Linked DNA regions of Macaca fascicularis. The protein of the gene in region 1 interacts with the protein of each later gene in a biochemical or structural test. Links are inferred from orthologs where the notes say so. Each region holds a gene or a part of one and is shown on either strand. Other genes may lie near its edges.

The links.
Region 2: the proteins of SEC31A (region 1) and SEC13 form a complex in vitro, tested with the Homo sapiens proteins (2 studies listed by BioGRID and IntAct, with this or other methods). The link is inferred for Macaca fascicularis from reciprocal best matches to the Homo sapiens genes SEC31A and SEC13.

What each region holds. Positions count from the first base shown.
Region 1 is NC_088379.1:50,975,466-50,990,712, forward strand, and holds part of SEC31A (protein transport protein Sec31A), read left to right. Parts: intron 1-7,566; coding exon 7,567-7,728; intron 7,729-7,924; coding exon 7,925-8,077; intron 8,078-10,211; coding exon 10,212-10,448; intron 10,449-11,402; coding exon 11,403-11,477; intron 11,478-12,195; coding exon 12,196-12,234; intron 12,235-13,044; coding exon 13,045-13,122; intron 13,123-15,247. UniProt on the Homo sapiens protein: Component of the coat protein complex II (COPII) which promotes the formation of transport vesicles from the endoplasmic reticulum (ER).
Region 2 is NC_088376.1:148,611,375-148,626,721, reverse strand, and holds the end of SEC13 (protein SEC13 homolog), read left to right. Parts: intron 1-728; exon of another isoform or gene 729-1,140; intron 1,141-1,473; exon of another isoform or gene 1,474-1,538; intron 1,539-5,201; coding exon 5,202-5,335; intron 5,336-5,748; coding exon 5,749-5,872; intron 5,873-6,732; coding exon 6,733-6,879; intron 6,880-9,530; coding exon 9,531-9,644; 3' UTR 9,645-9,982; downstream 9,983-15,347. UniProt on the Homo sapiens protein: Functions as a component of the nuclear pore complex (NPC) and the COPII coat. At the endoplasmic reticulum, SEC13 is involved in the biogenesis of COPII-coated vesicles.

The DNA.
Region 1 (15,247 bases):
AGAAAAATCAGTAATTGAAATAGTATATTTTAAACTAGTAATCATCCCCTTCTCATTTCCAATAATGTATTTATTACCTAGACTCAGAAATACTTTGATTTATTTCACATGTGGTTTATGGGAATCAGTATCTTCGATGTAGGATTGTTCAAGGTTTACATCTTCTGTCTGCTTTACCATTCCTGAGGATCATGTTTCACTTCTGGAAATTGGTAGATATAGTTTTCCAATCTCTCTTCTGAATGATAAAGCAAGAATATAAATTATAGCTTTTATATTTTTACCTTTTTTATGTGAAGGTAGATTATTGCTAGTGCTTATGTAGTTTGATAGAATGCTAATAAAAATAGTGTCTTTGATAAGTTTTCATCTATATTGTTAAAATTAAAACAAGCCCTTTAGTTATTTGGTTTCTGGTTTAAGAGTCGTGGATGTAACAATATAAAATATAGAATCATTAACATTAGGGGAGACGAGAAAAAAATTAATAAATTTTACTGCATATCATTTGTAGGATGAATAACAAAAATCTTAATTTTACACTGTGCCTTGCCAAGTAAATTCAAAATTCATGGAACTTACTATTCTGTCATCATTTTCTCTATTATATAATTTAATTAGATGAATTTTTGCCTATGATTAGTTGTGTGTGCTTGGACTTTGAAGGAAGAAACTTTTAGTACATGCTACAACTAAAAAATTGGATTTTGTTCAAATACAAATAAGGAATAGATAAATGATCTAAGTTTTATCAAACCGCATATCTTACCAAACAAAATAAATACCAAAGACACGAGCAGGCTAAATACCTTTTCAATTAATTCTATTTTTTAATAAAATTAAACATTTTAAATGTCACATGGGCCAGGTGTGGTGGCTCACACCTGTAATCTCAGCACTTTGGGAGGCCAAGGCTGGCTGGTGAAACCCCATCTCCATAACAAATACAAAAATTAGCTGGCTGTGGTGGCGTGTTCTATAGTCCCAGCCACTCGGGAGGCTGAGGTGGGAGGATCGCTTGAGCCCAGGAGGTCAGGACTCCAGTGAGCTGTGATTGTGCCACTGCACTCCAGCCTAGTCATCAGTGTGAGACCCTGTCTCAAAAATAAGAAAAAGGAAAAAAAAAAAAGTCACATGAAACCAGAGTTAAGTTCATTTGACTTATCATAAAGTCCTAAGGTGTTGCTTCTATGAATAGCAGTTAACCACCTTACTAACTTTGAGTTCACAACAGGCATTACATTGTAAAGCTTTCGTATAAGCCATTTTCTATTTATTTATTTTTTTATTACTATTACTATTTTTTTGTCAGAGTCTTGCTCTGTTTCCCAATGCAGTGGCACCATGACAGCTCACTGAAACCTTGACCTCCCAGGCTCAGTCAGTCCTCCCACAGCCTCCCAGATGGCAGGGACTACAGGCATGCACCACCATGCCTGGCCAATTTTGTGTATGTTTTTGTAGAGATGGGGTTTCGCCATGTTCCCCATGCTGGTCTTGAACTCCTGGGCTCAAGCGGTCTGCCCACCTCAGCCTCCCAAAGTGCTAGGATTATAGGCGTGAACCACCACGCCCGGCCTCATATAGGTCATTTTCTATAGTTCTTTCTCTGTCATTTTCTTTCTAAAGGAAGCTGATAATGCCGAATTCTGTTAGGATTCTGCAGTGATAGGAAGGGTGTGTACAGTACATGTTTTCTCTCGTGATTAAAAGTCAAATTTCTTAGTGAATTCTTCCTTCTCAAGATTGATTTTAAAATTTGATCCTCAAGTAACCTAAATATGGTTGTTGTTTGGGTCTTACCAGACAAAAACAATTGGACAGGACATCACTAATCTTTTAGAGTTTAAAAAGTTGGCTCTAGGTCGGGTGCGGTGGCTCGTGCCTGTAATCCCAGCACTTTGGGAGACCAAGGTGGGCGGATCACTTGAGGTCAGCAGTTCAAGACAAGCCTGGCCAACGTGGTGAAACCCCGTGTCTGTTAAAAATAAAAAAGTTGGCCGGGCATGATGGCAGGTGCCTGTAATCCCAGCTACTTGGGAGGCTGAGGCAGGAGAATTGCTTGAGCCCAGGAGGTGGAGGTTGCAGTGAGCTGAGGTCGCTGCCACTGCCCTCCAGCCTGGGCAACAGAGCGAGACCCTGTTGCAAAAAATAAAAAAGGTGACTCTAATAGAGTGTGCTGGTTTTTCAAATGCATCCACTATTTTGAACACAAGAACCTCAGTTTTTAAAATGTGTTTATTCAAATCCGATTGAAATTTTAAGTCACATTCCTGTTAATCAGAATAGGTCATCATAATGAATCATTCTTGTACTTTAAAAAATCTTAGTATTCTTTTTCCTGGCTACAGATACTTTCTACAAAAAATTGTTCAATTTAGCTATACTTGTTGACCACGTTCATTCAGGTGTTTTGGTTACGAAGTGGCCATACTGAAGGGGTGGCCTGCCCCTCCACACCTGTGGGCATTTCCCGTTAGGTGGAACGAGAGACTTGAGAAAAGAAATGAGACACAGAGACAAAGTATAGAGAAAGAAAAAGTGGGCCCAGGGGACCGGCACTCAGCATACAGAGGACCCATGCAGGCACCGGTCTCTGAGTTCCCTCAGTATTTATTAATCATTATCTTTACCATCTTAGAAAAAGGGAAGTGACAGGATAATAGGATCATGGTAGAGAGAAGGTCAGCAGTAAGACATATGAATAAAGATCTCTGTGACATGAATAAGTTTAAGGAAAAGTGCTGTGCCTTGATATGCATATGCAAACATCTCCATAAACTTTTTTAGTGCATAAAGAGCAGCATTGCCGCTAGCACGGCCCACTTTCCCCCCTTTTCTGTTTACTCCTTTCTCAGTAAACAGAACACACAATCGGGTTTTACACTGAGATGTTCCATTGCCCAGGGACGGGCAGGAGATGGATGCTTTTCTCTGTCTCAACTGCCGAGAGGCCTTCTTTCCTCTTATACTAGTCCTCCTCCGCACAGACCCTTCACGGGTGTCAGTCTGGGGGACGATCAGGTCTTTCCCTTCCCACGAGGCCATATTTCAGACTATCACAGGGGGAGAAACCTTGGACAATACCTAGCTTTCCTAGGCAGAGGTCCCTGCGACCTTTGGCAGTGTACGTGTCCCTGGGTACTTGAGATTAAGAGAATGGTGATGACTTTTCACAAGCATACTGCCTTCAGGCACTTGTTTAACAAAGCACACCCTGCACAGCCCAAAATCCGTTAAACCTTAAGTCACCACAGCACGTGTCTCTTGCAAGGACAAGGTTGGGGGTAGGGTCACAGATTAACAGCATCTCAAATACTGAACAAAATGGAGTCTCTTATGTCTACTTCTTTCTATATAGACACAGTAACAGTCTGATCTCTTTCTTTTCCCCACATTTCCCCCTTTTCTTTTCAACAAAACCACCATTGTCATCATGGCTCGTTCTCGATGGTCGCTGTCTCTTTGGAACTGTTGGGTATACCGGCAGACTAACAGCAAACAGAACAGGCATACAAGGATTCATACGAAATTTACAATAGTCATACTTCAGATGGTTTTAACCGAAGTGACAGGGTTAAGATTTGCAAGGCCATCAGCACCTCCTGCAGTTGCCTCAGTTTCTGGTACCAACACAAGAGATCACATACTTCACAAAGTCATAAAATATCACAAAGCAAGTGGAGGCAGGATGAGATCACTGACCACAGGATGGCGTTAAAATTAAAATTAAAATTGCATTGTCATTGATAACATCTTACCAGGAAACAGGGTTTGAGAGCAGACAACCTGTCTGACCAAACTTTATTAGGTGGGAATTTTCTCATCCTAATAAGCCTGGGAGTGCTACAGGAGACTAGGGCTTATTTCATCCCTTGGGCTTTGACCTTAAAAGACAGCACGCCTTGAGGGGGTCGTTTATAGGTCTACCCTCAGAGCGCACTCTTTTTCTCAGGGATGTTCCTTGCTGAGAAAAAGAATTCAGCGATATTTCTCCTATTTGCTTTTAAAAAGAGGAGAAATATGGCTCTGTTCCATCCGGCTCACCGGCGGCCAGTTCAAGGTTACCTCCCTTGTTCTCTGAACATCGCTGTTATCCTGTTCTTTTTTCAAGATGCCCAGATTTCCTATTGTTCAAACACACATGCTCTACAAACAATTTTTGCAGTTTACACAATCATCACAGGGTCCTGAGGTGACATACATCCTCCTCAGTTTACAAAGAAGATGATGGGATTAAGAGATTAAAGACAGACATAGGAAATTATAAAAGCATTAATTTGGGGAACTAATAAGTGTCCTTGAAATCTTCACATTTTATGTTTTTCTGCCGTGGCTTCAGCTGGTCCCTTCGTTCAGGGTCCCTGACTTCCTGCACATCTTTTCTTCTGATATCACCACCTGGTTCATCTTGCGAGTGAATGGTGCTCGATTGCGGTGTTTCCGTCTCCGTGGAGGCGCTTTTCTTTCCATCTCCGATGGGTTCATTGTAGAACTTCAAATGTTTAGTGGGTTTCCAAACAGGAAGCTGATTTTCTCCTGGTGAAACACAAGCAAAACCTCTTCCCTAGGTTATCACCTTCCCTATTTCCCATGTCTTATTTTTGTTATCTTTCCACCAAATCAGTTTTCCTTCATGTGGGCTGTTCTTTTTGCCAGTAAGATGTTGTTCAGCAGAAGTAGTAGTCTGATTTCTATAAATGTTTAAAAAATTTAAAGTATAGAGTGCTAGATTAAGTTGCATCTGAGGAGTGGTACACTCCTTACTGTCTCCCCCTTCTTTTTGTTTAATTAACTGAGTTTTGAGTGTTCTATTAGTTCTTTCAACTATGGCCTGCCCTTGGGAATTAGAAGGAATTCCTGTTGTGTGTGTAATTTTCCACTGATTTAAGAATTTTTGGACAGCTTTACTACAATATCCTGGTCCATTGTCAGTTTTAATTTTTTTTGGAACTCCCATTACAGCAAAACAAGATAATGAATGTTTTTTTAACATGGGAAGTACTTTCTCCTGTCTGGCAGGTTGCCCATATGAAATGTGAATAAGTATCAACTGTTACATGAACATATGATAATTTTCCAAATAAGGTACATGTGTAACATCCATTTGCCATAATGCATTAGGGCACAGACCTCTGGGATTAACTCCTGCCTCTTGAGTGGGCAGGTATAGTACTTTACACTGGGTTGTTGTACAATATCTTTTGCCTGTTTCCGTGTGATATCAAATTTGTTTTTTAACCCTGCTGCATTTACATGAGTCAAACCATGAAGTTCTTGTGCTTTTATGAATGCAGAGGATACCAGTAAGTCAACTTGTTCATTTGCTTTAGTTAAAGGTCCTGGTAAATTAGTGTATGCTCGAATATGAGTAATATAAAATAGGAAATTCCTTTTTCTTACAGTTTGTTGTAATAAATTGAACAGCTGGTTTAACTGATCATCCATGCTGTATTTAATTAGAGCTGTCTCAGCATCCCTTGTAGCCTGTACTACATATGCAGAATCTGATACAATATTAACAGGTTGATTAAAATCTTGTAACACTTAATGACTGCAACCAACTCTGCCCTTTGAGCCGATTGATACTGAGTTTTGAGCAGCATCTTGAAGCCTTGCTACAAAATCAGGGTAAGGCTCTTTAGAGCCTTGTCTTATTGTATTGAAGGAGGGGCAGGCGGTTTCTGGGTCTTGGATTTTCTCCCAGGCCCTAAGGCAGATAGCCCTAATTTGCTCAATGGCCTCATTTTGCATTATTACTTGTTGACTAGCAGTGCTCCAATTTTGACCTGTTCCTAATAGTTGATCTACCTCTATGTTAATTGGAAGATTGGCAGTCCTATGTCTTCGGACCTGTTCTTGTGCCCCATCAATCCACCAACTCTTAAATTGTAAAAAATGAGAGGGTGAGAGTGATGATTTTGCCAGAATCTCCCAATCATAAGGAATGAGTCTATGTCCATGAGCAATGGAATCTAATAATGTTCTCACGTAAGGAGAGTTGGGTCCATACTGTTTTACTCCCTCTTTCATTCCTTTTAGCATTTTTATAGAAAAGGACTCATATCTGGCTTCAGCTACGAGAGGCTCTCCCTCTTGGGCCCCTGCTCCAGATGGTCTTGATTCTAATATTACTGGGAATTGCCACACTTCAATATCTCCTTGTTTTCTTGCCTCATCAATAATTTTATGTAATGCACTACCCTGTCCACTAGGTGGTGCTGTAGGATTAAGTTTCATGGTGGGCGGCTGAGGCTATAGCGCCCTGCCCTGTGGCGCTGGAAACATTCCTGGCTGTCTGTACGGATTTTCTGGGGGCAGCAGATACTGAAGTTTGGCTGGCGGCCAGTATTGATAGGCTACTGGCGTCTGGGTCTTACTTTCTATCGGCTGATATTGTGGACACTGTATTTGGATTGGCATTGCCATGACAGAGACTCTATCTTTTTCTATTTGATCTTCTTTTGGAGTTTGTACTTGTTTAACCTGCATTTGAGGTTGTAAAGTTACAGGCATCTGAGCTGCTGTAAGAGGAGTTGGCCACTGTGGTTTAGACTCTGATGGCTCTGCTAGTTCTGGACCTTTTTCTTCTAACTTTAACATTTCAGGATATATCACCTCCTGTAATTGATTATCGTCAACATTTTGCATTGACCGAGCCATTACCGGAACTTTCTGTTCCTTTCCGGGATTCTATCCCTGCCTCTTTGACAATCTACTGCACAGCTTTCAGGGACATAAGAAACTGAAACGCTATCTTCTTCTGTTTGAAATGGTTCTAAAGCTACTTTAATAATGACCCAATCATTCTATACTGTGAGTGGGATAATTTTACCTTCCCTGCTTGCTTGTTTTAATTCTTTGCCAATTTTTTCCCAGTCTTTTAGATCTAAAGTTCCCTGTTCCAGAAACCATGGGCAAAACTGTTCTATTGTTTGGAATAGCGTAATTAGATTTTTGGTAGAGACTTTAATTCCCCCTCTTTTTAAGAGAATTTTAATAAAGCTGTGATAAGAGGCATATTTACTTTTAGTTTGCCCCATTGTTACCCTAGGTTCTTCCGAGCGCACAAGCTTACCGCAAGGCTGACTGTAGACATACTCGGGAGTCTCTTGTCGACTTGTCCTCAATGACCACGCTCGAGCGTACCTTCACCTTAGAGAAAAGCACCCACGTTGGGCACCAGATGAAGGGGTGGCCTGGTGCTCCACACCTGTGGGCGTTTCTTGTGAGGTGGAATGAGAGACTTGAGAAAAGAAATGAGACAAAGTGACAAAGCATAGAGAAAGAAAAAGTGGGCCCAGGGGACCGGCACTCAGCATACAGAGGACCCACGCCGGCACCGGTCTCTGAGTTCCCTCAGTATTTATTGAGTCACTACAGCACATGTCTCTTGCAAGGACAAGGTTGGGAGTAGGGTCACAGATTAACAGCATCTCAAATACAGAACAAAATGGAGTCTCATGTCTACTTCTTTCTATATAGACACAGTAACAGTCTGATCTCTCTTTCTTTTCCCCACACCACCATTTTCTGAGTGTTGTTGTTTGTTTTTTGTTGGCCCAGGTGTTATATGAACTTCCCACCAACACACAGTGGTGCTTCGATATTCAGTGGTGTCCCCGAAATCCTGCTGTCTTATCAGCTGCTTCGTTTGATGGGCGTATCAGTGTTTATTCTATCATGGGAGGAAGCACAGACGGTTTAAGACAGAAACAAGTTGACAAGGTAATAGGAAGTGTTAAAGTTTTCTATTATAATGCCTGAAAAAAGTACATGTTGTGTAATATTTTGAAATGACTTCACTGATTAACATTGCTGGTTAATTGGACAATTGTGATCAAAAATTTTTTTGGATATGACTGGAAAAAAATGAAAGATAGTTTGTGTATGGTCAGATTCTCATGTTATTAATCTTTTTTAGCTTTCATCATCTTTTGGGAATCTTGATCCCTTCGGCACAGGACAGCCCCTTCCTCCATTACAAATTCCACAGCAGACTGCTCAGCATAGTATAGTGTTGCCTCTGAAGAAGCCGCCCAAGTGGATTCGAAGGCCTGTTGGTGCTTCTTTTTCAGTAGGTGGATTTTGTTTTTATGGTCCATAGTCACAAAGGACTTTTTATACCAAAGTGTTATTACAGGATCACTCTGATGGAAGAAGTCGGGGTTTAAGTTGGGATTTGAGATGTATTTGTGGGTATTGCATCATTCAAAATGATTTCTCTGAAAAACTGGAACCTACTCTTTTTTTTCCCTTTTTTAAAAACATGGTAAAATATACATAAAATTTATCATTTTATCCATTTTCAAATGTACAGTTCAATGGCATTAAGTACATTTACATTGTTGTTGTGTAGCCAACACTCTATGTTCCTCCCCCCACTTTTTTTTTTTTAAATATTTTTTTATTTTAGACAGAGTCTTGCTCTGTTGCCCAGGGTGGAGTGCACTAGCGCAATCTCGGCTCACTGCAACCTCCGCCTCCTGGGTTCAAGCAGTTCTCCTGCCTCAGCCTCCTGAGTAGCTGGAATTACAGGTGCACGCCACCACACCTGGCTAATTTTTGTATTTTTAGTAGAGATGCGGTTTTACCATGTTGACTGGGGCTGGTCTCGAACTCCTGACCTCAGGTGATCCACCTGCCTCGGCCTCCCAAAGTGCTGGGATTACAGGCATGAGTCACTGTACCAGGCCCTCCTCCCTTTTTTTTAAATGTGTCTTCCTTCTCTCTCTCTCTCTCTCTCTCTCTCTGTCTCTCTAGCTCTTTCCCTCGCTCCCTCCCTCCCTTCTTTTTTTCTTTTCTTTTCTCTTCTCTTCTCTTTTCTTTTCTTTTATTTTCACAGGGAGTGTCCTCCCTCCTCTTCATCCTTTTAGCTTTCTTTTTTAATTGTCAGCTTTTTTTATTGTAAAAAATACGTAATATAAAATTTACTATCTTAACCATTTTAAATATACACTACAACCATTTTTAAATATATACTACAGTAGTGTTAACTATATACATGTTGTTGTGCAACAGATCTCTAGAACTTTTTCATCTTGCAAAACTGAAACTCTGTGCCCTTGAACAGCAGCTCCCCATTTCCTCTTTCCCTTGAATCCCTGGTAACCACATTCTACTTTGTTGCTAGGAGTTTTACTACTTTAAATTACTCATATAAATGGAATCATGCAGTACTTGTCTTTTTGTGGCTGGCTTATTTTACTTAGCTTAATGTCCTCAAGGTTTATTTGTGTTGTAGCATGACAGAATTTACTTCTTTTTACAGGCCAAATAATATTGCATTGTATATATATACCACATTTTTTTTATCCTTTCATTTGATGGTCATTTTGGTTGCTTCCATCTTTTGGCTATTGTGAATAAATGCTGTGGTGAACATGGGTTTGTAATTATCGTTTTGGGATCCTGTTTTCAGTTTTTTGAGACATATACCCAGAAGTGGGATTGCTGGATCGTACGATGGTTCTATTTTTAAGTTTTTGAAGAACCTCTATACCGTTACCATTTTACATTCTCACTAATAGTGCACAAGGGTTCTAGTTTCTCCACATCCTCTCTAGCACTTTTTGTTTGTTTCTTTCTTCCTTTTACATTGCTGACACTTTGCCTAATTCTTTCACACCAGACTTCTAATAGCTTGATTGCATATTTGTTGCTTGTCTTTTTCCTCTCTAATCTTTACTACATATTCCAAGATTAATCTTCCTAAAATAGACCTTTGAATATGTTTTATGTCACTCATAAGTCTGTTCTTTGGATCTGCTTAATCTTCTCATCATCCTATCTGGTCTTCTGTATCTGGGTGGATCACTTGAGGTTTGGAGTTCAAGACCAGCCTGGCCAACATGGTGAAACCCTGTCTACTAAAAATACAAAAATTAGCCAGGCGTGTGGCTGGCACCTGTAATCCCAGCTACTCAGGAGGCTGAGGCAGGAGAATCACTTGAACCCAGGAGGCAGAGGTTGTAGTGAGCCAACATCCCGCCTTTGCACTCCAGCCTAGGTGACTAAGAGTGAAACTCTGTCTCAAAAAAAAAAAAAGTACATTTCATCTAGAACAGAAATTGAAGTGATGTCAGACTGTGGCGCATGAGAGGTGGTATCAACTAATTTCATCCAGATTATCTGTTTAGGCCACTTTATAAGCACTGTTTTTGGCCATATCCTCGGGTTAACACTGAGTTTGTTCATTCTCTCTTTTATAGTTTGGAGGCAAACTGGTTACATTTGAGAATGTTAGAATGCCTTCTCATCAGGGAGCTGAGCAGCAGCAGCAGCAGCACCATGTGTTCATTAGTCAGGTTGTAACAGAAAAGGAGTTCCTCAGCCGGTCAGACCAACTTCAGCAGGCTGTGCAGTCACAAGGATTTATCAATTATTGCCAAAAAAAAATTGATGCTTCTCAGACTGAATTTGAGAAAAATGTGTGGTCCTTTTTGAAGGTAAAGTTGCTATTTAAGGCTGTATTATTTCATTATCTGCAAATTTAACTGTTCCATTATATTCTAAATCTGTCTTCCTTTTAAAGAATTGAAAAAGTGTGATTTCAGCAATTCATCATGAAATTAAGAAGCCTTATAAAGAGCATACAACCTGTGTCCAGAGTTTTTCCTTCTCTACTTTGAAAAGTGTAATACGAAATACATTTTTAATAAGAAAACAAAAATAGATCTGTTTAGAGGAGAGAGACATAGTCAGCATACCTATTTTGAAGATTAGTACATAGAGTTTACTATAATGAAAACATAGAATATTTAATATCTATATTAGATCTAGTTAAGGAAAATGGAAAAAGGAAGAGGAATAGAGGAGAGAGGTTGGAGGCATTTTTCCTTTTACTTTAAGAGGAATTAGGATAGAGTAACAAATAGAATTTCCTTGTTGGTCATTTTGCCTGCACTGGAATGTCTATTTCTTTATACAGTACTGATTTTTCAAGTAAAGCAGTCTTGAATACGGTAGGGTAAAGTCTAAAATTAAATAATTTATATTTTGTAATAATTTTGGGAAAGAATTTTAGGACATAGAATATTCCACATAGTTTGAGTTTTGTATCAATTTAACCTTTGAACATAAGTTTGTATTTAAAAAACTTACTGTTCAAAAGTAAACTTTATTCAACCAGGATAATTAATTACTAGTATATTTACTATTAAAAAAATCACTTATTTTAAAAAAATGATTCTGGGCACATGTTCTCAGGACCTCCTGAGGCTAGGTCTCCAAACAAAAAAACCAAAAAACCCACTATTCTTTAGATTCGTTCTAACAATGAATCTTTAGAATGTAGACTTCAGATAATTTTAATAATTCTCTTTGGAATTTGATTCATTCTTATAAAAAGTTGGCCTTTAAATGTAGGTCTTTCTTTTAAGAATATGTCTTTTTTTTAAAAGGTGAACTTTGAGGATGATTCTCGTGGAAAATACCTTGAACTTCTAGGATACAGGAAAGAAGATCTAGGAAAGAAGGTAAACTTTCGGGAAAGTTAGATGGCATGCTGTTTATGAATCACACTTTAAAAAAATAAAGTTTGACACAGATTATCTTAAATCACCCAATAAACATTTAATACTAATTTGTGTTTGGTTGCCAGCATTTTTTCTTTTTTCTTTTTTTATTCTCCATTATTACCCACAGTGGTTGCCAGAGTTTTGAATACATACTTGTATTAGCCTTTCATCATTCTTTGGAAATGACAAGAGTTTTCTGTAACATTGCAGGTTGTTGCATGTGTGATAGAGGTATACCGTGCACTGTAAGTGCATATTGAAGTTTAGTGCTCTTTTGATGTCCAGCAGAACTAAGATCACATCACAACCCCACTCCTTAGTGGCTGTGTCTTTGCTCACTCCTTTAGAGTTTTATATTTAACTTTATTCGTAGTCTAAACTTCTTGAGGCTGTAACTTTTTTAGGCTTGTAAGAGATTAATATATGAAAGTTATACTTGCATGCCTGATGGCAGAAAATGAGGAAATAGAATGATTGTCAGATTATTTCTAATCACTTCCGTGTGAAAGAAGCTAGAACCGTGGAGAACCAGTTATAGCTTTTATTGTTTTTTTAAACATACTATTCCTATAAGAACTTTTGTGGATTTTCGCCAATGAGAAGCAAGAGGTGAACATTTGCTGGATGCTCTGAAATAGAATTCCATGTAGTAGGTGAGCTGTTATTTTTATTTCAGATTGCTTTGGCCTTGAACAAAGTGGATGGAGCCGATGTGGTAAGAAGGCCTTTAAAAATAGCTACCTTCTAAAACTTTGGCTAGGTCATAACAAAGAAGGAAATATCATTTAAGAAATTTGTGTTTTATGGTTCATAGTATAAAAATAAATGCTTATTCTAGATATTTTAATAAGTTAATAATTCTCATTTTAAAAATAGCATGAGCTTAGCTGGTGGAACATTCCTTTCTCTTGACATACATATTTGAATTTTGTAAAGGAGGAAAAACAGAATTAATGACTACTCAAATACTTAAAGTTTTCTTTGTTGTTGTTTTTTGTTTGTTTGTTTTTTTGCCGGGGGAAAAAAAATTGATGGGAAAGTGGGCTGGGTGCGGTGGCTCACGCCTGTAATCCCAGCACTTTGGGAGGCCGAGGAGGGCAGATCACAAGGTCAGGAGTTCAAGACCAGCCTGACCAACATGGTGAAATCCTGTCTTTACTAAAAATACAAAAATTAGCCGGATGTTGTAGCACATGCCTGTAATCCCAGCTACTTGGGAGGCTGAGGCAGGAGAATTGCTTGAACCGGGAGGCGGAGGTTGCAGTGAGCTGGGATCGTGCCACTGACCTCCAGCGTGGGTGATAGAGTAAGACTGTCTCAAAAAAAAAGAATGGGAAAGTGTTAGCAGTAATAGTTCTTTACTTTTCCTCTAATGGTGATTCTCAAATAAATTTACTCACTGTTGCTTTTTATGATTAAACTAGCTCTGAATGTTGTTGGTTGGGTCTTTTGTCTTCCTGGTTCACTAACAGCCTTTTAATGCTACATTTTTCACCTTCCCCTGTAATTGTTTTGTGTACCAAAGGCTCTTAAAGACTCTGACCAAGTAGCACAGAGTGATGGGGAGGAGAGCCCTGCTGCTGAAGAGCAGCTCTTGGGAGAGGTACTTATTTTTTTTTTTTTTTCATATTATACTGGACAAATTTGTGATATTTGTGTATCTCACATTAAAATAAGAAAAATTTTCTTGACTACTTGTGGCAAAATTAAGTTGAAATAAATTGTTTTCTTTGAGATGTTTAGGATAGGAATCTATTTACCTATACTGATAAAAGTATCATCTCCAGACTCTTGTTCTCCAACCTTGTTTCTGGATTATATGGTTTAAAACTAACAGTTGATGTGAGATTAACATAATTTGGTCAGATGACTATCAGGATGTCAAACTGAAAAGAGATTTTATTCAGAAATCCTCATTGTGTTGCATGTAAAGTTAATGTCTTTTTTTGGCCTATAATTTTGGGCCAACTATCAGTGGCATAGGCCTCTGAATTAGTACTGAACATGGAGTTGAAGTAAAGGATATTTCACTAAACTTAGTCATGATTTTCAATAAATGTGTCGTTAGTTGATAATTGTTGTAAATAAGAAGAGTCCTTGAACACAGAGTTACATCATTAATTTTTCCTTTTAATTTTCTGGGTGTTTTTTTTTAACCACTAATGAACAAATCTATAATTTACTTTTCTTGCTTTCTAATTTTATATCATCTTGGAAAATTAATCAACAAGTTCTTCTCATCTCATCTTTGGCTTTTTCATTGTTCTTTGCAATATCTTGACTATGGAATGTTTTGTATAATTTTTTACTAAGTTATAAAAATAATTCAGTAAATTTAGTCTATTACAAGATGATTGCAAAAATCATTCTCCTTAGAAGTGGATCTCCTAGAGTTTATTAACAAGAGAATAAAGAATGTGGATAAAATCTTACTAAAAATTTGAACTAGGCCAGGCATGATGTTTGCTTATGCCTGTAATCCCAGCACTTTGGGAGGCCAAGGTGGGAGGATCACTTGAGGCTAGGAATTCAAGACTAGCCTGGACAACATAGTGAGACCCCATCTCTAAAAAAACAAAAAGAAATTAACCCAGCAGGATGGCACATGCCTGTAGTCCTACCTATTTGGGAGGCTGAGGTAGGATCACTTGAACCAAGAGTTCATGGTTGGAGTGAGCTATGATCACACCATTGCATTCCAGCCTGGGTGACAGAGCAAGACCTTGTCTGATTTTAAAAAGAAAAGAACTAATTTTGAGAATATTTAAACAGAATTGTAAGATACATAGAGAAATGTACTTTCATTTATGTACAGCTAGACTATGTATTATCAAATAGAGGGTCATTTGGGAATGCACTCATGAATAATAGGTAAGGAAAATATGCATTTAATGAAATAGTAGTCATCAATGTGTACTTTGGTTCTTTGAAAAAAATGTGTTTAAGGAGATAAAATCTTCCCCTTTGTCTTGATGAGCTATTTGTTTCATAGTAGCTTACACATTGAAGGCACTCATTACCTAATAAATTGTGCATTTTTTGACCTTATATCTAGTTCAGAAGTCCATAAATAAGGATAAATCATTTCTAGAAAGCAAATTGGAGAAATAGTGACTTAAAAAAAAGAAAAATGGCCGGGCGCGGTGGCTCATGCCTGTAATCCCAGCACTTTGGGAGGCCAGGGCAGGTAGATCACGAGGTCAAGAGATTGAGACCATCCTGGCTAACACGGTGAAACCCCATCTCTACTGAAAATACAAAAAATTAACCAGGCGTGGTGGCAGGTCCCTACTCGGGAGGCTGAGGCAGGACAATGTCGTGAACCCGGGAGGGAGGTGGAGCTTGCAGTGAGCTGAGAATGCACCACTGCACTCCAGCCTGGGTGACAGAGTGAGACTCTGTCTCAAAAAAAAAGTATTTTTATGCAAGTTTGTTAGTGAATGTAATTAGATCAGTGTGTCTGATTTATTCCTTAATGTGAATAACTTAAATTCTTAATTTCTTGGAGTTTTTAAATTCCAAATGCTTCTCTTTAGTTGGGGAAAGGGAATTAGGGTTATAGATATTCTCCTGTAATAGTCAACATTAATAATTAAGTGTATTTGCAGATGGTGCAGTGCTGTACTCTGCATTAAAATTACCCAGTTGTAAAGTGCCACTGACTTTGAATACTAGATATTTACATTCAGATGTGTAGATAATATAGCACGGAAGATAGATATTTCATC
Region 2 (15,347 bases), on another chromosome or scaffold:
AATCAAAGATGATGGTAAGCATCTTTTGGGGGCTTATTGGCTATTTGTGTATCTTCGGAGAAATGACTGGGAGGGGTTTGCACTCTAACACCAAGTGAATGCAAGCGGCCCACAATAAGAAAGGCTGAAGGGGCGGGAAGAAATCTGAGCTCTGTGATCCTCCAGAGCAAGCCTCTGGGACAGGCCCCCTCAGGAAGAGGAACTGCTGGAAATGAAATCACAGTTGAGCTGGATAGGGACACAGGAAAGGAAGGATGAGATAGACCAACGTGGGGAAGAGAAACAAAGACAGGAACTCCTGAAAGCCATCTCCCACATTTTTTAACACTACACAGAAACGAGGGAGAGTTCTGAGCTTAGACTTTCCTGAGCCTTTCTTATCAGGAAAACTCATCTGACCTAAAAATAACAGAAAAGTCTTTGAAGTGAAATTGCATACAAAGGTTTTTTTTTGTTTTTTTGGTTTTTTTTTTTTTGAGACAGAGTCTCGCTCTGTCGCCCAGACTGGAGTGCAGTGGCCGGATCTCAGCTCACTGCAAGCTCCGCCTCCCGGGTTCCTGCTATTCTCCTGCCTCAGCCTCCCGAGTAGCTGGGACTACAGGCGCCGCCACCATGCCCGGCTAGTTTTATGTATTTTTTAGTAGAGACGGGGTTTCACCGTGTTAGCCAGGATTGGTCTCGATCTCCTGACCTCGTGATCTGCCCGTCTCGGCCTCCCAAAGTGCTGGGATTACAGGCTTGAGCCACCGCGCCCGGCATCATACAAAGTTATTATATAAGAAACAAAAATACGCAAAATACCCTCCCTGTGGACAGTGAGAGTACGTTAGAAAGATACGCCCACATAACAGAGCCAAACTGTAACCCGCTATTTCAAATCAAGCCAGGTGACATTCTAACAATACAAAGCATGAGAGAATAGCATAAATCAACATTTTAAAAATCAGAAATAAGGCGACAGAACTCAGGAAAGAATTAGAAATAAAAATCATTTCAGAAGTAAAGACTAAGTTAGATGAAATGCAAGTGTCGATAAACACAGCAGATCCTGCCTGAAAAGGATAAACAGTGTGAAAAAGGAAACATTTCAAGAGCAAAAAAGTGAAGAGGTAAAAAGGTTTTGAGCAAAAGTAAAGACAGGCAGAACGGCCGGGCGCGGTGGCTCAAGCCTGTAATCCCAGCACTTTGGGAGGCCGAGACGGGCGGATCACGAGGTCAGGAGATCGAGACCATCCTGGGTAACACAGTGAAACCCCGTCTCTACTAAAAATACAAAAACTTAGCCGGGCGAGGTGGCAGGCGCCTGTAGTCCCAGCTACTCGGGAGGCTGAGGCAGGAGAATGGCGTGAACCCGGGAGGCGGAGCTTGCAGTGAGCTGAGATCCGGCCACTGCACTCCAGCCTGGGTGACAGAGCGAGACTCCGTCTCAAAAAAAAAAAAAAAAAAAAAAAAAAAAAAAAAAAAAAAAGACAGGCAGAAAGGTCAAACCTATGAATACCAGGAGTCCCTGGAAAGGAAAACAGAACAAATACCAAAAAGTAATCCAGAAAACTTTCTTAAAATTAAAAAACAAAGATTTGAAACTTGAGATTGAGAGATCATGCCCTACACTTAACAGTATCAGCCAGGTGCAGTGGCTCAGCCTGTAATCCCAGCACTTTGGGAGGCTGAGGCAGGCGGATCACCTGAGGTCAGGAGTTCAAAACCAGCCTGACCAACATGGCGAAACCCCGTCTCTACTAAAAATAACAAAAATTAGCCGGACGTGGTGGCGCACACCTGTAATCCCAGCTACTCGGAAGGCTGAGGCAAGAGAATTGCTTGAACCTGGGAGGCAGAGGTCGCAGTGAGCCGAGATCACACCATTACACTTCAACCTGGGCAACAGAGCAAGACTCTGTCTCAAAAAAAAAAAAAAACAAGGCCAGGCGAGCTGGTTCAGCCTGTAATCCTAGCACTTTGGGAGATCGAGGTGGGAGGATTATTTGAGGCCAGGAGTTCAAGACCAACATGGCCAACATAGTGAGACCCTGTCTCTTAAAAAAAAAAAAACCCAGCATCACCAACTAAAAGATGTAATTCTAGTAAAATTATTAGACTTTAAATTTTGAGGGGTTCTAGAGAAAAGGAACCTTGTGACTTAAAGAGAAAAGACAATTAGGTTATTGTCAGACTTTTCAATAGTAAGGATTGGTGCAGAAGAAAAAAGAATAACATGTTTAAAATACTCAAGGAAAGAAAGTATGGGCCAGGGATTTATAACCAGGAAAATTGACTTTCAAGTGCACACAAAGACTTATACACAAAAGTTTATAGCAGCTTTACTAGCCAAAAACTGCAAGCAGTCCACATGTCCATCAACAGGTAAATGATAAGTTGTGATATATCCATACTTTGGAAATACTGCCAGCATTAAAAAGAAATGACTTAACACAATAAGAAGATGAATACATTTCAAAATAATTATGCTGAGTGAAAAAAAAAGAAAAAAAAGGACACACTGTGATTCCACTGCTGTAATATCTAGGAAGTGCAGCTGAGCAGGCCCGTGGTCACCAAGATTGGGGACTGCAAGATGGGGAGATGGATTACCAGGGGATCGAGGAAACTTTCTGGAATGATGGGCATGTTCCTTATCTTGATTGAGGTGATGTGATGATCCTACAGGGTATATTTTTGTCAAAATTCACCAAATCATGCACTTGATATGCAGTTTATGTCAATTATACCATATCAAAGCTGTTTTTAAAATTAGCTTTCAAGTGTAAAGAATATGAACTATTATCAATATGCAAGAATTCAGGGAATATTTGGGAGGCGGAGCTTGCAGCAAGCCGAGATCGCGCCACTGCACTCCAGCCTGGGCCACAGAGCGAGACTCTGTCTCAAAAAAAAAAAAAAAATTCAGGGACTACTGTTTCTAGGAGCCCTTCCTGCGGAATCTACTAGAGGATACATGTCACACAACAAAAATGACTACAAAGACTTCAGCATAAATATATAGAACTAAGATGAAATGAGGGTTAAAAGGCTGGGCCCACGGCGGACACGGTGGCTCACACCTGTAATCCCAGCACTTTGGGAGGCTGAGGCAGGCAGATCACCTGAGGTCAGGAGTTCAAGACCAGCCTGACCAACATGGCAAAACCCCATGATGTGGTTTGTCTGTGTCCCCACCCAGATCTCATCTTGAATGCCCACGTGTTACAGGGGGTACCTGGTGGGAGGTGGTTGAGTCATAGGAGGAGGTCTTTCCCATGCTGTTCTGTTCTCTTGATAGTGAATAAGTCTCACAAGATCTGGTTCTATGAGGAGGAGTTCGCCTGCACAGGCTCTCTCCCTTTTTGCTGCCATCCATGTGAAATGTGACTTGCTCCTCCTTGCCTTCTGCCATGATTGTGAGGCCTCCCCAGCTATGTGGAACTGTGAGTCCATTAAACCTCTCTTTTTTTGGTAAACTACCCAGTGTCAGGTATGTCTTTATCAGCGGCCTGAAAATGGACTAATACACCCCATCTCTACTAAAAATACAAAAATTAGCCAGGCGTGGTGGCACACACCTACAATCCCAGCTACATGGGAGGCTGAGGCAGGAGAATCACTTGAACCTGGGAGGTGGAGGTTGCAGTTAGCCAAGATCGCGCCTCTGCACTCCATCCTGGGTAACAGAGCCAGGCTCCGTCTCAAAAAAAACAAAAAAAAAAAAGGCAGTGGCTCACACCTATAATCCCAGTAATTTGGGAGTCCAAGGTGGGAGGATCGCTTGAGCCTAGGAAGTTTGAGGCTGCAGTGAACCATGATCATACCAACCTGCCCTTCAGCCTGGGTGACAGTGAGACCCTGTCTCAATAAAAAAAAAAAAGTTTTTGTTAATAATAAATAAAGAGGAGAATCAGTCATCTTTGGAAAGTGACAGAACCAGTTCAGAAAGAATCAAGCGTTTATCCAGGCTTTCCTTTCTGACCTTGTATTAGTCTGTTTTCACGCTGCTGGCAAAGACATACCTGAGACTGGGCAATTTCCAAAGGAAAGAGGATGGAGAACTCAGTTCCACGTGGCTGGGGAAGCCTTACAATCATGGCAGAAGGCAAGGAGGAGCAAGTCACATCTTACATGGATAGCAGCAGGCAAAAAAGAGAGCTTGTGCAGAAAAACTCCCATTTTTAAAATCATCAGATCTAATGAGACTTATTCACTATCACGAGAACAGCATGGGAAAGACTTCCCCCCGTGATTCAGTTACCTCCTACTGGGTCCCTCCCACAACATGTGGGAATTCAAGATGAGATTTGAGTAGGGACACAGCCAAACCGTATCAGACCTCTACCCCGGGTAACCAAATAGTTAATGAGAAGTACCCCTATCTGGAGCATTCCATGGAATAAATGACAAAGAAAGGATAGAATTAGAGTATCACCATTTTGCAAGACCCAGTGAATTCAGAGAAGCCTGAGTTATTGACAGCTGTTAATATAAGAGACAATCTAACGTGCCTCCTGATGAGAGAACACACCAGCTCTAGTCTTGGCCAAAGGGATCACACCTGAGTCTCTCCAGTCTTGGCTCCAGCTGACAGTTTTCAGGAATTCAGAGGAACATATTGAACTGCATATAAAGCAACAAAACCCAGACCGAGAAACTAGACTCTCTTCAGAAAAATTGTAAGGAAAAAAATCAGAGGAGGAATCTGCAAAGTAGGAGATGTAAAAAAAAAAAATCCAAAAAAATGTTTAATGGATAAGACTGTAGTGTCAAGGGATGCACATTTGGGCGATAAAAGGGGGGAAACTGGGTTAGAAGTCAGGGCAGTGGTTACTTGTAGAGGGAGCTGTGATTAGGAAGGGCATAATGACAGGGCTTTTCAGGCAGGTGGCAGAATTTTTGTTGATCCATTTATAATAAAAGATTTTTCTTAAAAAAGCTCCAATGTACTGTTCTTTCATGTGTTTAAAAAATGTCCTGTTTCTTAAATTTGTGGGAGTTCTTAATTTCTACTTTTAGTGCACACTGCAGAGAAATGCACACACTGTTGGGATCCTTGAGGGAGAATTCTGAGCAGTGGACCACATGATGAGTGCTTCATGTCAGCCTTCACACACAGTCCAGTCCTGAGAAGCGGAGGAGAGAGGGACAGCAGGCTTGGGTCTGCGAAAGCAGTGTTCTCTTGCAAGGCAGAGTCACCATGTGTTCCATCTTTACAGATTGGCTGCAATGCCGTCAGCTGGGCCCCTGCTGTTGTACCTGGAAGCCTCATAGACCAGCCTTCGGGACAGAAACCCAATTACATCAAGAGGTTTGCATCAGGTGGCTGTGACAACCTCATCAAGCTGTGGAAGTAAGTAGGGAAATGTGACTTTCTATTTAAGGGGACATTTCTGCCCTTTACCCTACTCACCATGACTCAGCCACACTCACAAGAAACAAAGTCACCTTTCTTTCTCCCTCCTGCCAGTAAAATACTGTTTTCAATCTGTCGAAGGACATCCTTGAAAAACAACACAACACCTGTTCACCTAATTCCCAACTGTTGGAGCTGACTCTCTGGCTGTGGAAGCAGAGCATTTCCTGGAGGGTTTTTTTTATGGCTGGGGTGAAGGGAATAAAATGCCACAAACTCCATGAATGAAAGAAGAAAGATGGAATCGCTTCTCCACCCCAGGCAGATCCTGTTGGGTAGGGGAGGAGTTGAGGTGTGGGAAAGGCCCCCAGGTGGCTCCCTGCTGATTCTCTTTCTGTCCCCGCTGTTAGGGAGGAGGAGGATGGCCAGTGGAAGGAGGAGCAGAAGCTAGAAGCGCACAGTGACTGGGTTCGAGATGTGGCCTGGGCCCCCTCCATCGGCCTGCCCACCAGCACCATCGCCAGCTGCTCCCAGGTCAGCCCAGGGCCATGAGAGCATCTCTTGTCATGTAGTCTCGAGTCAGGCCCATCAGCTCTTAGTCTCCTTAGCGGAAAGTCCTCTGTGAAGGTAAAGGGAGAGCAACAGGCACCTTTGGCCCAGAGCACAGGGAGTCAGGTCATCGTGTGGGGAACTCTGGGTCAGAAGCCACAAGTGGTCTGCCTCCACTGAGATGAGAGAGCTACAACAGAACCAGCACCAAGCAGGAGGTGGATTCGGGATGAATTTTCCCTCCCGCCCGTTGTGACACTAGGGAGCCAAGGTGCCCAGGTGCAGTTCCGAGTGTTCCCAAGCAACGATGGGGCGGGATGGGAAGGGATGGGAATTCTAGGCTCAGCTACCGAGCCACCCTTCCCAGACAGCAAGGACCACCAAGGGCGAGCCTTTAGTTATATGCCACCACCCTAGAGGGAGCCAGCCAGGCCTTTCATATCATAGGAACCTGTTTGGTTTGGTTCTAAATTTGAGATTTTTGTGCCTTTTCACTTGTGCCTTCTCATTCTCGGAGCTTGGTTTTTGGAGAGCTCTGCCCATTCAGTTGAGAAGGTATAGATAGCCAGTGGAGGTGACTTAGCAGGCATCAGGAAAACCCCAGAGAAAATCTGAGTTAGCAACGCAGAGTCCACCTCCGAAACCTGGATGAGAAAAGGAATCCGGGACACTCTTGACCAGTGTGAAGAGACAGAAGCAAAGCTGTGGATGCCCCAGAGGTCCTTGGCTCCCCTTTGAATCCCCCACCCTGTGCCTGCAGAGAGGTGCTGCGTGGCTCTAGATGGGGAGGACATCACAAACACAGCCTCGCCCCCATCTCCTGACTCTATCCTGTTTCTTCCTAGGACGGTCGTGTGTTCATTTGGACCTGTGATGATGCCTCAGGCAATACGTGGTCCCCTAAATTGTTGCACAAGTTCAATGATGTGGTGTGGCATGTGAGCTGGTCCATCACAGCCAACATCCTGGCTGTCTCCGGTGGAGACAATAAGGTACATACCCATTCCCCACGGCTTGGTGGACATGGCCTGTTGGTCTTCACCCCGCCCACTAGAGAGCGCACTTGACATTCCCACCTGACTGCAGGCTGGGAAGGAGCCTCAGCCAGGGCTGTGTGCTGAGTGTGCCTCTTAGTTACATCATTAATGTCACAGCCCCCAAGGTAGTATTGGTATGTCCCCCTTTCACAGATGAGGAAAGAAGCTGACAGAGGCGATTTGACTTGCATGGGGGTCCCAAAACTATGAGGTGGCAGGGCCAGTCAGGCTCATCACCCTGCTAACCATTTGGTCACCTCATGGCGATGTTCAATTAGCTGTGCCAAAAAAGTAAGTGTATGAGAACCCATAAACAAAAGCGAGAAGATTGGGGACTTTTTTTTGTCCCTAACACTTAAAAGGCTTTTTAAAAATCTGTAGAGTTTATGAATACTTGTTATGCTGGTAAGAGTCAGGTACACAGTGGGTGCATTGAAAGAGTTTGCATTTTGCAGCTAAAAAGAGTTCTGGAGACCAGCTGCACAGGGATACAAATGTACTTCACACAACTGGACTGTGCAGTTAAAAATGGCCAAGATCATTTTATGTTACGTGTATTTTACAATTAGAAGGAAAAATTACTCGCAGAAAGGAAGCAGTAACAAGCCACGGCCATCTGCCCAGCTGAATTCCCCTGTAAGACAGAGGATCCCTAACTCCACAGGGTCAGTTCCACATGGAGTGGCTGTGCTACGTTTTCAGGCACATCTGCTCTGCGTCTGAAGTGCGAGTTGGTCTGGATCCTGCCAGCCCTTGCTGCTTCTCTCCCTTGCCTGTGTTGGTCTTTTACTGTTTCCCAGTGGCCACTTTGGCTCCATGTCTTACCTTTCATTTGTGTAGCTCACAGCACAACCAACACAGGCAAGGCAGAGCAGCAGCTGATCTCCAGAACTCTTTTCAACTGCAAAATTGAAACTCCGTACCCATTAAATAACTCCCTTCCCCATTGCCCACCCCCCAGCGCTGGCAGCCACCCTTCTCCTTTCTGTCTATGTGAATGTGACTGCTCTAGGGAACTACCTAAGTGGAATCATACAGTATTTGTCCTTTTGCAACTGGGTTATGTCACTTAGCAGTATGCCCTTAAGGTGCCTCCATGCTGTATGTAGCACGTGTCAGAATTCCTTCCTTTGTAAAGCTAAGTAGTGTTGCATTGTATGGACAGCCTACACCCCATTTCTACACTCATTCCTCCACCAGCGGGCGCCTGGGCTGCTGCCACCTCATAGCTATTGCGAATAGTGCAGCTGTGAACATGGGCATGCAGATCTGAGAGCCTCTGCAGGCAGCTTTTCTGACCGAGGGTCCCTTTCATCTACAGTGGTCCCAGAAAGATCTAGCAGGCCCCCTCTCAAAGCCATATTTCTAGTGAGTGCCAGTCAGGACTAGAACCCAGGTTTGATGGCACTCAGGACAGACCAAGGGACCAGATTGCCTCAAGCAGGCCCACAGTGATTTTTACAAGGCTGTAAGCAAGTGCCTGGCTGTACATGCAATGTTTTGGGGTCCCCGTCACTATGCATTTAGGCTTCTTGCTCTTTCCTTCTTTATAAGCCTATTTCCTTTTGCTGTCTCCATAGCACCCTTAGTTAAAGGACTTAGTGTTTTCAATCCGAGAGTTTTCTGCAGTGTGTTGAGTGAATAAAGTGTGTCCCTAAAGCAAGAGTTCTTAAAATCAAAATCATTATTTTCATTTTTAATGAAACTAATATATGTACATAGCTTTAGATTGTTTTTGTTTTTTGTTTTGTTTTGAGATCGCGTCTCACTCTGTCGTCCAGGCTGGAGTGTACTGGCAGTCTTGGCTCATTGCAACCTCCGTCTCCTGGGTTCAAGTGATTCTCCTGCCTCAGCCTCCCCACTGGGAGATTATAGGTGCCTGCCACCAAGCCCGGCTAGTTCTTTTGTGTGTATTTTTAGTAGAGACGGGGTTTCACCTTGTTGGCCAGGCTGGTCTCGAACTCCTGGCCTCAGGTGATCCACCCATCTCAGCCTCCCAAACTGCTGGGAGCCACCACACCTGGCCTAGATTGATTTTTTTTAATGCAGCCTCCTAATTTTCACTCTCCAGGGGCAAATCTTTTCAGCTCTTAGCTATTTCTTACACAGTTTACTTCAGTGTAGAAACAACATACTAATGTTACCTTCCTCTACCACAGTAGCTTTCAAACTGCAGCGTTGTTACACCTGTTAAAACAGATTGCCAGCCCCACCCCGAGAGCTTCTTAATCAGTTGTTCCAGGCCCCAAGAATCTACAGTTGTAGCAAGTTCCCAGGTGACCGATGCTCTGGTCTGGGGACCACACTTCACAAACCCTGCTCCCTGCCACCCCATATCCTGTTACCGTAGCTCTGTCACAGTTTGGTGAAAACACTATCCTGTGTTGACATCATCATCCACAGCTGCTATTATTGTTACTCCTTTTTTTCTGTGAGTTTTTATTCCTGGACTCTCATTTTGGTGGGATTTCAGTGGAGGAGGGACATGCTCTGTTCATCCACAAGCCTCTGGGCAGTGGTTCTTGATGGGGATGAGGCTCATATTTAGGGGACAGCGGAGGGAAGGCCTCAGACCCATGATAATCTGCTTGTGCACTGACTTGCAGGTGACCCTGTGGAAGGAGTCGGTTGACGGGCAGTGGGTGTGCATCAGTGATGTCAACAAGGGCCAGGGCTCCGTGTCAGCGTCAGTCACAGAGGGCCAGCAGAACGAGCAGTGACAAGACAGGTGGGGCCTGGCTCCCTACCCGCCAGCGCCAGGACTGCCCCTTCCTGGGCCAACTGACCAAACAACTGGGAAGAGCCCCCAACTCCAACAGGATTGTTTTCCCAGGAGGAGTTACAGATGCAGCCACAGATTGATCATCTGCCTTAATTATCGGAGATGCTTTGTAATCTGCTGTCCAGCTGAAAGCGCTCATGTTATGAGGAAGAAACTGCAAATGAAGTTCAAATCTATTTTAAACTATTTTGGGCCATTTTTATGTACCTTTGGGTTCAGGCATTATTTGGGGGGTTTTGTTTCCAAAGTAACTAAATAAAGTCATATTGCTTATAATTCCCGCTGCGTTATCCTAACCACCTCCCACCCCACCCCGCCAGCTCAGTTTGACTCTTGTCGGTCCACGCACTAGAACAACGTACACAAAGGCCATGGCTGTGATGGCCTGGCTCAACCCCACCCACAAAGGTGGCTTGTCACTGCATGAGCATCTCTTTGATTCAGTTTATACTGAAAGCACCATACAGAGCACTGGACTCAGCCTTTGGTGACAAGGACTGTAGCCCTGGCTCTGCTGCTCAACCTCTCCGTACACATCCTCTTCTGCAGAATGGGACTAATACAGTCTGCCCTACAGGATGGCTGCAGGACTCAAATGAGCTAGCGCATCTGGTGACCCACAAAATGCCATGCAGATGCAAGGTGATATTAACCAGACACCAATAGCTATGAGGCTGGCCCAGAAAGTGGGCACAATTCATTCAGTTTATTGACGCTGTCAGGGAAAGGAGGGCCCTGTGATGGGAGACCTAACTGACCCTGAACCAGGTTTTCAGCAGAGGCCCTGTGACCCTGACAATCGCCACAGCCATCACTGAGCCTGCAGTGAGCCAGACACTACCCTGGATCTTTCACACACTCACTAATTTAAGCAACACAAGAACCTTGTGTGGGTGTCCCCAGTTCACTAATGAGGAAGCGCTCAGAAGGTAGAAGCACTGCCCAGGACTGTGCAAACATAAAGCCAGCACCTGGGTCTGGCCTGTCTCAAGAGTTACTCCCCACTGTAGCATCAGGGTGGGAGCTGGGGGGATCTCAGCTATAATCCAAGGGTGCTTCTCACACCAAACCTTTGTATGAATCGGCCCAGATAAAAGGTCAGCCCAGTTGCCTCAGGACCCCTAGTCTACCTACTTCTTGTCCTTCCCTCCTTTTTCAGCAGCAAAACCCCCTTTTTAAAAAAAATAAATCTGATCATACTATGTAACATGCAAAAAAGTGAAACCACTTTGGTTAAAGGTGAGGATAGAGAGGCCATGGCCTGGCCCAGTCAGCCTCCCAAGTCACTCCACAAAACCCAAGCCTTCTGAGACCAACATGAAAACAGCTGCTTCCTTCCCTTCATTACTCAGAAAAGCAAAGCCCAGGAAGGCATCTTCGCGTGCACTACTGAGCGTAGAGTTCTACACCGAATCCTTGAGCCACATCCACATCTGCCTCCCTGATATGCATGCTCTGTGCTCCTCAAGCCTGGGCCTGGGCTTCCTATGGTGCCAGCTGCTGTCACCAAGTAACTACCGAGAAGGAACTAGTCCCGTGTCACTCTGGGTTGCTGGTAGGTTAACGGGTCCGTGGCTGTGTACTCTATTTGTAACTCACACCACCAAGGATCGGTTAAGATAATTGGGAGTTAAATGAAGTTTGCACCATAATAGTTGTTTATGCTTAGAGTGGCAACACATTAACCATTCCTGGGGTAAGAGGAGACCCCAAAATTAGTTACCACAAAATAGCCTAGTCAAATAGAAACACTATCTGTAAGACTTGAACGCAGTTGCCAAGCCCAAATGAGATAAAAGAAAGGGAAACTTAAAAGGAACAGAGTTCTGGTTAGGGCCAGATGGCGCTAGCAGCCACATGTTTTTTAATCCTTTTGCAAAAACAAAGCAACTGTGACAGCAAAAGAAACCCAGAGACCCTAGAACATGGAGTAGGCCAAAGCCTTCATAGACACAATACCTCTGAGAGAGCAGCAGGGCGAAGAAAAGGGAGTTTTTATGGTGCTATAAGCCAGAGACCCCCAAAATTGCCATCAGATACTCATCCATTCTGAGTAGAAAACTCAGCAAGTCAATGTGAAAACAATTCCCAAAACTAGAAGATTCACAGGCTTCCACTTACAAGTGAGCCCAGAAACACTAAGGGGAGACCTTCCACTTCTGCATATAAAGGATTAACAGTTACAAGAATTTCCCAGCCAGGTATAGTGGCTCACAACTGGAATCCCAGCACTTTGAAAGGCCAAGACGGGCGGGTTATTTGAGCCCCGGAATTCAAGACCAGCCTGGCCAACACGGCGAAACCCCATCTCTACTAAAAATACAAAAATTAAGTGCAGTGGCGGGCCTGCAGTCCCAGCTACTCAGGAGGCTGAGGCACAAGAATCGTTTGAGCCCAGGAGGCGGAGGTTGCAGTGAGCCGAGATTGCACCGCTGCACTCCAGCCTGGGCAACAGAGCAAGACTCTGTCTCAAAAAAAAAAAATATTTCCCTGGCTGGGTGCAGTGGCCAGTACTTTGGAAGGTTGAAGGAGGAGGATCTCTTGAGCCCAGGAGTTTGAGATCAGCCTGGGCAACACAGCAAGAGCCTGTCTCTTTAATAATAAATAAGAATTTCCCTCACGCTATAAACAACTACGAAATCAAGAAAAATACATGAAACAACTACTGCTTTCAGACATAGGACAACAGGCAGTGTTTGGGAAAAGGGAAACAGGTAAGCACAACAAATGCCCCAGATTACTACCCAGAAGCAGTTTCTGGGCCAAAAGGTAAAGAGAGACTCCAGAGTCTAGTAGTCTCTGGGACTTGAAGAGACAGAAGTCAGAGTTTAGGAAGACCCAGGCAGGCTGGGCGCAGTGGCTCATGCTTGTAATCCCAGCACTTTGGGAGGCCGAGGTGGGCAGATCACCTGAGGTCAAGAGTTCGAGACCAGCCTGGCCAACATGGTGAAACCCTGTCTGTACTAAAAATACAAAACCTGGCCAGGCGTGGTGGTGCACCCCTGTAATCCCAGTTACTCAGGAGGCTGAGGCAGGAGAATTGCTTGAATCAGGGAGGCGGAGGTTGCAGAGAGCAGAGATTATGCCACTGCACTCTGGCCTGGGTGAAAGAGCAAGGCTCCAACTCAAAAAACAAACAAACAAAAAAGACCAAGGCAGAATTGAAGGCAGAGGAGGACGAGAGGAGGAAGCCACACAGAGCAAGCTCCTGAGAGCTGAAGGGTCTCCTGGAGTCTTTGGCCAAGTACTAAATAGGAAGGGTGAAACCAATAGACCAAGCAGCTGGAGCTCACATAGGGGTGGGAATAGCCCATGTTCCCAGCAACCAGAAAAAAAGAGACATTCCACACAGAACAACAAATACAAGAGGGCAGCAGGCCAGGCGCAGTGGTTCACGCCTATAATCCCAACACTTTGGAAGGCTGAGGCGGGTGGATCACGAGGTCAGGAGTCCAAGACCAGCCTGACCAAGATGGTGAAACCCTGTCCCTACTAAAATTAGCCGGGAGCAGTGGCGGGCGCCTGTAATCCCAGCTACTCAGGAGGCTGAGGCAGGAGAATTGCTTGAACCTGGGAGGTAGAGGTTGCAGTGAGCCGAAATCGCGCGACTGCACCCCAGCCTGGGCGACAGAGCAAGACTCTGTCTCAAAAAAACAAAGGAGCAGCAGCCAACTTCTCATCAGAAAGTAGGCAAACCATAAGAAAACTAACATCTTTAAAGTACTGAAACAATTTAAAAAAAAAAAAAAAAAACCTGTGTCTCAAATTCTATACCTAGTGAAAATATATATTTCTTTCAAATAAAAGCTGAAAGAATTAATCACCAGCAGAGCTGTCAATACAAGAAATGCCAAAGAAGTTTCCTTCAGGCAGAAGGAAAAACGGGCTGGGTGCAGTGACTCACACCTGTAATCCCAGCACTTTGGGATGCTGAGGCAACAGGATTGCTTGAGCCCAGGAGTATGAGACAAGCCTGACCAACATAACATGGTGAGACCCTGTCTCTACAAAAAAATACAAAAATTAGGGTTTACAAATATGACTTCAGGCCCAACACGGTGGCTCACGCCTGTGATCCCAGCACTTTGGGAGGCCTAGGCAGGTGGATCACTTGAGGTCAGTAGTTCAAGACCAGCCTGGCGAACATGGCAAAACCCCATCTCTACTAAAAATACAAAAATTAGCTGGGTGTGGTCGCGCATGCCTGTAGTCCCAGCTACTTGGGAGGCTGAGGCAGGGGAATTGCTTGAACCCAGGAGGTAGAGGTTGCAGTGAGCCAAGATCACGCCACTGCACTCCAACCTGGACAACAGAGCAAAACTCCATCTCAAAAAACAAACAAACAAACAAATATGACTTCAACATATTGCAAATACCTTCAACAACTCCAATATCCCTTTACAGATATCCCCTTACAGGCCGAGGGGGGAGGATCGGTTGAGCCCAGAAGGTGGAGGTTGTAGTGAGTTGAGATCACACCACTGCACTCCACCCCAGGTGACACAGTGAGACCCTGTCTCAAATAAAAAAGAAAAGAAAAATGGATCTGCACTAAGGAATAAGGAGCAACACGATAGTAAATACCCGAGTTCATAAGACTTTTTCTTAATTTCTTTAATCTCTCTAAAAACATTGGCTATTTCACATGCATTGTGGGGTTCATAGCTTATGTAAAAATAAAATGTGTGACAATAATATCACAAAGAATAGAAGTGTGGAAATGAAAGCATTCTGTGCTACAGTTCTTACACTATCTGTGAAAGGATATCATAGTTGTTGAAGGTGTTCTGCAATATACTGAAGTCATATTTGTAAATCCTAGAGCAACCATTCAAAGAATACAACAGTACAGTATAGTAATAAGCCGACGGTGAAGACAAAATGATACCATTCAAAACCCTCTAAAAGTGGTTATGACAAGGAAAAGAAAAGGAAGAACAGATGGGACAATGGGAAAACCGGTGACTTACAAATAGTCTGAGATTAACAGTAATGTGCTAACATTGGTGTTTTAATTTTGATAAATGCACTATGGTTATATAAGATATTCACATTAGTGGAAACTGAATTGGGGTATTCAGAGAGAAAGATTTCATCTTCCATCTGTTTAAATTTTCTGCTGGAAGCAAGCATTTATAATCAAAATTTACCTGGGATACTTGGTAATTTATAATCAAAATTACCTGAGATACTTGAAACAGATTCTGCGGCCCCCACGCCAGAGTTACTGGATCAGAATCCAAGGATGGAGTCTTATAAACATGCAAAAACTTATGAAGCTTTCCTCATGAATCCAACACAACCCAACACAGGTCTGTATCTGGAAATTGAGATTAGATGGCCCTCCAGGCCACATCCCACCCTGAGGTCCTATGGCTCTTGGCAGTCCATAGACTAAAAGGCTGGATGAGCAGCAATGCTGAGAGAACAGTTTCAGTACAGCGGTGGGGATGAGGGTCAAGTTCAAGTTTGGAGGGGCCAGGATACAGTAAAGAAGAGGACACGAGGAAAGGGAAAGGAAATGGAGACGGTAACATGAGGGGAGGGTGGGATCGGTGCACAACAGACATTTTCAGGATTAGGAACCTGGGTGTATTTTAAGGTGGAAATCAGAAGCCATTGGAGGGGAACAGATTGAAGA